Linked DNA regions of Neurospora crassa OR74A. The protein of the gene in region 2 purifies or fractionates together with the protein of the main gene of each other region. This does not show direct contact. Links are inferred from orthologs where the notes say so. Each region holds a gene or a part of one and is shown on either strand. Other genes may lie near its edges.

Region 1 (3,909 bases), on a different chromosome or scaffold from region 2:
ATTGGAATAACATCGTCGTAGTCCTGTCTGTTGACAAAGTAGTGCCGGATCTCTTCATGTTTCGAAAGGTCGGCAAAGACGTAGGAGAGGTAGTCGTAATCGGCGTGCTTGTTGTAAGTCCCGTCGGCGCCCTTGACGAAGAGGTCCATTAGTTGGTTAATGACCCTATCGTCGGACTTGAGCTTCTCTGGAGCGGGCTGTTTCCGGTCTAGAAGACTTTTGAGTCCATCCCACTTGGTCAAGTTTGCCAGCAACATAGCCATAAGATTGGCGTTAACCTCCTCGGGCTCCTATAGGAACGGGATCGAAGCGGTTAGTCCTTGCTGCGCACGCACCGTAGGAGCTCAGAATGGATACACATACGACAAGAAGCCCGAGGAGGATTCCAAGGAAGCGATCATCGGTCGCGACGTATTCCAGCACATCCTTCTCGGCAGTCAAGTTGATCAAGCATGTTAGGGCGTGCTCGGCGATTTTCTGCACATGGTACCGACGTCTTAGCTGAAGCTGCTTGGGCGCAAACAAGACAAGTCTGTTGGGCCTACCGGGTGGTCGCGGATCAAGAACTTGAGATGCTTGATGGGGGTGAGCTCGTCGGTCTTGAAGAGGGCGGGCTGAGACGCTGAGAAGGGCACCAGGTTCTCTGTCGCGAGAAGGCGGATGTTGGCGTTCGGCGAGGCAATGAAGCCCACGAGCTTCAGGCGATTATAGCGATTAGTTGTCTGTCCACTGACATTGACACTGCACTGGTTCTGGCAGAATTACCTCTTCAAGTTCGGTCGGCATGTTATCAATGGTAGCTGGATGTATGGTTGTATTGGACTTGCTATAAGCTCGTAACCGTGGCGAGCGAGGCTATGATGTCGCGACTTCCCTTGCTCTTATTCATGCAGTGGGCCAAGCTGCAAAAACTGTAAACACAGGGAACAAAATTCCAGGAATTTGCAACCGAAGAGGGGCACAGTGACGAAAATGCGGGGCAATAAAATGTTTATCGCTGCTCCGCCGGGCGCGTCCAAGCTAGACGATAAGCGATAAGAGGTATTGTACCGCTTATCATTTTCACCGCCCTGGCATCAGAAAATAAAGTGTGCCCACACAGCAAAGAAGTGACCAACCACAAGCGTAGCGCAAGCCTTTCAAGTGCCCAGACTTCTCCACGGCGGGAACAAATTGTCCAAGGGTCGCCGAAAAAAATATCCCCAATTGCCGTGTGCAGCCAAGTCGACATCGCAAAGAGAGGGGACAACCAGGAGAGCTCCGTATCATCAACTCTTCCCCCGATTGCACAACCCTACCGCCATTCAAGATGCCCAAGACAACAGCGGCGACGTCGAAGAGGCGCCACAACCCCCTCGAGGCCGACCTCGTTTCTACCGGCGTCCTTAAGAACAACTCCGGCAAAAAGAGCAAGAACACTCGCGCCGCCAACGACGAAGATGAGCAAAAGTATGTCGACGCCAAGGCTTCGCGCAACATTTTGGCTATGAGCCGTAGCCTCATCGAGGAGGAGGAGAACCTCCGGACAACACAAAACGCAGCCTCCGGATCTGCTCCTTCGGCGTTCGAGTTCGATCCATCGAGATTCGACCGCAACGATGACGAAGACGACAAGTTTGAGAACGACGAGGCCTGGGGCGAGGAAGAGGAGGAGGAGGTAGAGGAAATCGAAGTCGACGCCACCGATCTCGAGACATTCAACCAGTTTATCACACCCACAATGAACGAGGACCCGCTCCTAACACACGGATGGGATGGAAAGCCAGAAGGGGCAGAAGAGCAGGGTCAGAGCGTGAACCTGGCGGACCTTATTCTTGCCAAGATCGCAGAGAAGGAAGCCGGCGGCCCCCAAGGCGGGTACCGCGACGAGCCTGGCCCAATTGATGAGGATTACGAGATCCCCCCAAAGGTGATGGAAGTGTTTGAGAAGTAGGCTGGCCGTTATTTCTGTTACCCTCTTGGCAGACTACTGACAGACTCCTTCTCGCAGAATTGGCATGATTCTTTCTCGCTACAAATCTGGGCCGCTTCCCAAGCCTTTCAAGGTCCTTCCTCAGATCCCCCACTGGGAGGACATCTTGCCCATTACACAACCCGAGTCCTGGACTCCCAATGCCTGGTATGGTTGCTTCTTCCTGTTTTCGGGAGCCAGAGAAACGCTGCTGACATTTGCGATTGTTAGCTACGCGGCCACCAGGATATTTGCGTCCGCCAAGGAGGCTGTTCTTCAACGGTTTATGGAGATGGTGATCTTAGAACGCGTCCGCGAGGACATTCACGAGACCAAGAAGCTCAATGTCCATCTTTTCAACTCCCTAAAAAAGGCCCTCTACAAGCCTGGTGGTTTCTTCAAAGGTGTGTTATTTACTGCCTACGCTTAGTCAGGTTTGCTCAAAAGGGACAACCCAGCTAACCGTTGGCAGGCTTCTTGTTTCCTTTGGCGGCTTCCGGAACGTGCTCGCTGCGTGAGGCGCAGATCGTAGCCGGTGTTTTGACCCGGGTCACCATTCCGGCTGTTCATTCCGGTATGGCCATTAAGGGCTTGTGCGAAATTTCTTCTGCGCAGGCTTCTCAGCGCCTCGACTGCGTTAGCGCTACGAATTTCCTCCTCAAGACTCTGATTGAGAAACGTCACGCCTTGCGTAAGTCCAATTCCTAGCGTGCCAATGATTGTATTCTCTGACTTTGTAATACAGCCTTCCAAGCGCTCGATGCCCTCGTCTTCCACTTTCTTCGGTATCCCGCTTTCGCCACCGGCGGGCATATGGCACCCAACGCTTTACCAGTCATCTTCCATCAGTGCATGCTCTCATTTGCACAGAGATACAAGACGAACAGTGAGTTTGCTTCTTCCGTCGCTGTTTCACTATGCGTCCCTATTATTTTTGAGTACTAACCGCGGTCTTTGTGTAGTTACTGAGGACCAGCGAGAGGCTCTCCTGGATCTTCTCCTAACTCACGGCCATGACAAGATTTCGCCCGAGATCAGGCGAGAACTTCTCGCAGGTCGCGGAGGTGGTGTCCCTGTCGCGCAACCCGGATTTGATGGCGATGACACGATGCTGGACGCTTGAAGAAACATCGGTGATCCGGTAATGACTTATAGACGATGAACCCTTGGTATGCAACGAGGACATGTGGCTCATTTTTACCTGGTACGCGCATAGAGATGGGAGTCGTGTTGTTTAGTGACCTTGGTGGCTTGGGGCAGTCCTTAGACATTGACCCCTTTGATAATACTATGTCACGCCTCGACAGTGGCTACTACTCATCACGCCGCTTGAAGAGGAAGTGGTCATGCCAAGTCAGTCACCATGTACTACCCTTTGTATCTTAGTGGTGCTGACCAACCAGCAACATAATTGTTGACGACCTGTAATGCTTTAGTGCACGAAATTATAAATTCAAGATACCCGGTACAGCAACAGGAATTGTCGAGGAGCCTTGGAATAATCATTTTCAGTTATGTGAAGGAAGCTGCCTTTTGACTTCTTTGTTGCGTCAATCTGGCTTGGAATGCCCTTCTCCCATTTTTCCAAGTCCAAGGCAACCGCGATCCTCTGCCACGTTGTCGGAATCCTGAGAGAACAGTGTAAAGGGAAAGAAGGCAATGTAGCTCTCGCCTACTTCGATATCTCGTGTATCTGATGGCATCATCCCGTATTAGGTGCTTTTACCATACGAGTTTCTAGTGTTCTCTTCCTAACACCCGGTCAACCCGAACATTCTAAGCACTCCGCCCCTCTCGTTTCCCTATTTATTCTTGAGATTGCTTTCTTACCCCGAGACACCAAGTTCTACTCAGTATTTCCGCAAGATCAGGATTTTCGGCGCTGCTTTCTGGCGTTTCGCCTAAGAATCCCGACACCACCTCAACCTCAATATAGTACTTTCCCCCGTTGGGCAGAT
Region 2 (3,909 bases):
GGTGGCGATGACGGATTTTAGTAACAGGACGGGCGCTCCGCCTCCGGGGGGAAGGGGAGAGGGGGGAGAAGGGGAGTGTCTCTTCTCTTCAGGAAAGCATGAAGACAACTTGAACACCATCTGAGTGTCATGCAGAGTAACTGAGTAGGTAGCGAAGACGACGATGAACTCCGAGATGAGAGGAAGCATCGAGGATTGGTATAGCTAATTCTAACTTTGTATGATTTCTCCGTAACACCGCGATGCAATACGCCTTCTAAAATAGACTAAACGATACAAAACCCTAAACAGAACAAACAAACGTGACCGCCACTGCTTGTCCAACTATACTGACAACCGAAGTGGCAACGAAGCACTCTAGGCCTCAGCCTTCTCACTGTCCTTCTTGTTCTTGCTTCTCTTCCTCTTCTTTTTCCTCTCTCCCTCGATGATATTATCCGCTCCCCGTTCACCAGCAGCAATCTCCTTCTTCTCCTCCTTCTTCTCTTCCTTCTTCTCCTCTTTCTTCTTCTCGCCACTCTTCTTGTCCTTGTTCTCACCCCTCTTCTTATGCTTAATCGCACCCTCATCCTTCTTGCCAAGGGGCGTACCATCCTCGTCCAGCGCCTCGAACCCAAAGGTAGGACCAGTCGCTTCGAACTCCTTGCCAAACGTCTCGCGACGCCACTGCCTGAGACGGGCCTTCTTGCCAAGCTTCTTGCGTTCCTTGCGCTTCTTCTCGGCGTCGCGGAAAGTAGCCAGCTTCTTGAGGCCGGCGAACTCGTTGAGCGCGGCGTCCGAGGGCGCCAACAAGATATCGCGCGCCGTCATGCCGAACGAGACGGGCGAAGTCTCGCGGTAGCGGAACGGGAACAGGTTCTCCTTGTACTTCTTGTCCTTGGGGGCGGAAAGCGCGCGAGGAGTGTCGAGTTCCATCTTGGTGTCGACCAAAGCTTCAAGCTTGGCTAGTTCCGCCTTGGCTGCCCGCTTGGCGGCTTGCTTCTCCTTCTTGATGTCGGCGGTGGTCTTGCGCTTCTTGGAGGGACGGCCTTCATCTTCATCGGCGGAGAGGTCGGAGCCGAGGTCGGCGTCCTCGTCTTCGGCTTTTTGGTCGTCGCCGTTGGGCTTGGGGAGGTCTAGATCGGAAAGGACAACATCGGGAGCGTCGTCGAAGTCGGGGATGATGTCCTTGATGTCGATATCGTCGTCCCACTCGGGCTTCTTGGGCAGCTTCTTCTTCTTCTTCTTGGATTTGCCGTCCTCGTTGTCCTCGTCGTCCTCCTCGTCGCTGCCGGACACGTCGCCTTCTCCCTCGGCGTAGTACTCCTCGCCAAACTGCTTGCGCATCTCCTCTTCCCACCGGTCGTTGTCCCAGGCGTCCTCGAGGAACTTCATCCACTCCTCGTCGGACAGCTCCTTGCCGGTGAGACCGGCAGCCTTCTTGATCTTGGATAGCTTCTCGGCCGCCTCGTCAATCTTGAGACGGCGCAGACGAGCACGCTCCTCCTCGCGCTGCTTCTTCTCGGCCTCCTTGCGCTCCTTCTCGAGCTGTCTCTGCTTCTTTCTGCCCGTGAGCTCCTCCTTTCTGACGGACTTGGCGTTGGCCAGGTTACGCGAGTACGTCTTGAGCAACTCGTTGCTCTTGTTGGGGTCCTCGAACCGCATGTTGTAGGCGTGCTCGAACTCCTCGGCCATCTCGGGGAAGTTGTCCTCACCCTCGTCCGACTCGAAAGCCTCCCAGCGCGAGCCGTCGGCGGGCGCCCAGGCCTTGGACTGCATGAATTTGGAAAGGAACTCCTCGGGGTTCTTGTCAGCGTTCTTGACGTCGAGCTCGTTAAGATCGATCGCCTTGGCGCGCGACGGGTGAACGCCGTTCTCGGTAGGCGCCTCCTCCTTCTTGACGGGCTTGATGAAGGCGTCGTCGTCGCTCCACTCCTCGTCTTCGCCGACAGCGGCATTGATCTCAGACAGAATGTTCTGCTTCAGGTTGGCTTGTTCCTCGGCATAGGTCTTGGGCTTGGGCGCGTCATCTTCGTCGGCACCGATGTCACCGGCCATGTACCTCTCGCGGTGGTAGTCGCGCAGGGTCATGGGCTTCTCCTTCTTCTCCTTGACGGGCTGGCCGTCGGCGTCAATTGGCGTGTAGAAAACGGCCTCCTTGTCGTAGATGCGGGGGTCCCTCTTCTTGATAGCTTCTAGAGTGGCGTTGATTTCGGCGTCGAGGTCCTCGGTGACAAGGAAGCCCTCATCGTCTTCGGTCTCGTCTTCGGAAGAGTCCTCTTCGTCCTCGTCTTCGCCTAGCCCACCTTCCTTCTTGGACTTGAACTTTTCCTCGAGACGGTGGAGTTCCTCGCGCTTCTTGTTGTGTTCAAAACGGCGGGCGTACTCCTCATTGATCTTCAAGTCGGCAGCGGTACCGAGGGTGGCACCGCCGTCCTGCTCGTCTTCGCTGGAGGCATCATCGTCGAACAGACCCTTTCTAGGCACAATGGGATCGGTATTGGCGCCTGTGACTCTGGCTTTCGCCGCTTTTGACTTTGGGCGAGGCATCTTGAGGTGGGCTAGATTTGAAGATGCTAGGGCGAAGGGGTGGAAAGTCAATCCTGGCGCATAAAGGATGGAAGACTTTCGTTGCGACTTTGACGCCCCCAAATTTTCGAAGTGAACTTTTTAGTGGGGACCTTTTCGAAGTCCAGTCCCCGGGCTACAGCTGGCGGTACGTACTTGTAGTCCAATTTGCCTGCCACGAGATTGCGCACGGTTCACAAAGGCATACATATGTGGCTATGAGTCTTGGCATGGAGGGGAAGTTGGAGTCCACTCACAGCGCAAGCGAGGGGGGACATCGAGGACATGCGACGCCTGCCCGTGGCCCGACCGAATGCCTGCTGGATCCCGGCGAGCCTGGCTTTCCGACTGGAAGGGAACTAACTGAATGAACAAGCTCCATCCATCCATTTACTCTCATTGCTGCCGTCTACCTATCACGTCACACCTCACTCCGATTCCCAACCCATCAACGATCCATCTTCAGACATCTTTTGTCTTCCAACAGGCAGCCACCCAACGTCCTCCCTTCCACAACTGCACTGCTCTGTCGCTGTCGCATTATCAAAGATAGCCGTTCTTGCTATTGTCCCTTGCTGTAGTTGCTCGCTGCCGCAAGCCCCGCCGTTTCCACAACCCATCCACCCAGATTTGTAGCAACAATACACTTCAACGACAATGGCCGATACGAACGCGCCCAAGCCGAGCAGCAGCGTCAAGCTGGTGCTTCTAGGTGAAGCTGCTGTCGGAAAGGTGCGCAGTCTTCTGCTCCAAAACCACCATGCTCGAGAAACACATGCCTAACACAAATCGTTCCACAGTCGTCGCTCGTCCTCCGATTCGTCAACAATGACTTTCAAGAGAACAAGGAGCCCACGATAGGAGGTTAGTTCCTGAAGTCATGACGACTTTCTTTGCACCAGTTTAGCTGACACTTTTTTGCAGCCGCCTTCCTAACCCAGAAGTGCAACCTGCCCACGAGGACGATCAAGTTCGAGATTTGGGATACAGCAGGCCAGGAGCGCTTCGCCTCTCTAGCGCCCATGTACTACCGCAACGCCCAAGCCGCCCTTGTCGTTTACGACCTGACGAAACCTACTTCACTCATCAAGGCCAAGCACTGGGTCGCCGAGCTCCAGCGACAAGCGTCTCCCGGCATCGTTATCGCGCTCGTGGGCAACAAGTTGGATCTGACCAGCGACTCGGCCGGCTCTGCCGAGGCTTCCGGAGGTGGCGACGACAATGCGGAGGATTCGGGCGACGCACGCAAGATCTCGACGGACGAGGCCAAGGCATACGCCGAGGAGGAGGGTCTCTTGTTCTTTGAGACTTCGGCCAAGACCGGACATAACGTTACTGAGGTTTTCACAGCCATTGCAAACG

What was found.
Region 1: the proteins of NCU06409 (region 2) and NCU08323 purify together in Saccharomyces cerevisiae (affinity purification with mass spectrometry; 4 studies listed by BioGRID). This does not show direct contact. The link is inferred for Neurospora crassa OR74A from reciprocal best matches to the Saccharomyces cerevisiae genes KRI1 and ENP1.

Annotation. Positions count from the first base shown.
Region 1 is NC_026504.1:2,402,027-2,405,935, forward strand, and holds NCU08323 (bystin), read left to right. Parts: upstream 1-1,145; 5' UTR 1,146-1,309; coding exon 1,310-1,929; intron 1,930-1,990; coding exon 1,991-2,119; intron 2,120-2,182; coding exon 2,183-2,355; intron 2,356-2,423; coding exon 2,424-2,642; intron 2,643-2,696; coding exon 2,697-2,837; intron 2,838-2,913; coding exon 2,914-3,074; 3' UTR 3,075-3,373; downstream 3,374-3,909. Other genes in the region: NCU08324 (DNA-binding protein HGH1), read right to left, coding at 1-290, 364-477, 546-695, 766-786; NCU16789 (hypothetical protein), read left to right, coding at 3,517-3,592, 3,888-3,909. UniProt on the Saccharomyces cerevisiae protein: Required for normal export of the pre-40S particles from the nucleus to the cytoplasm.
Region 2 is NC_026503.1:1,301,420-1,305,328, forward strand, and holds NCU06409 (ribosome biogenesis protein Kri1), read right to left. Parts: upstream 2,639-3,909; 5' UTR 2,530-2,638; coding exon 358-2,529; 3' UTR 162-357; downstream 1-161. Other genes in the region: NCU06410 (GTP-binding protein YPT52), read left to right, coding at 3,205-3,279, 3,348-3,411, 3,472-3,909. UniProt on the Saccharomyces cerevisiae protein: Required for 40S ribosome biogenesis. Involved in nucleolar processing of pre-18S ribosomal RNA.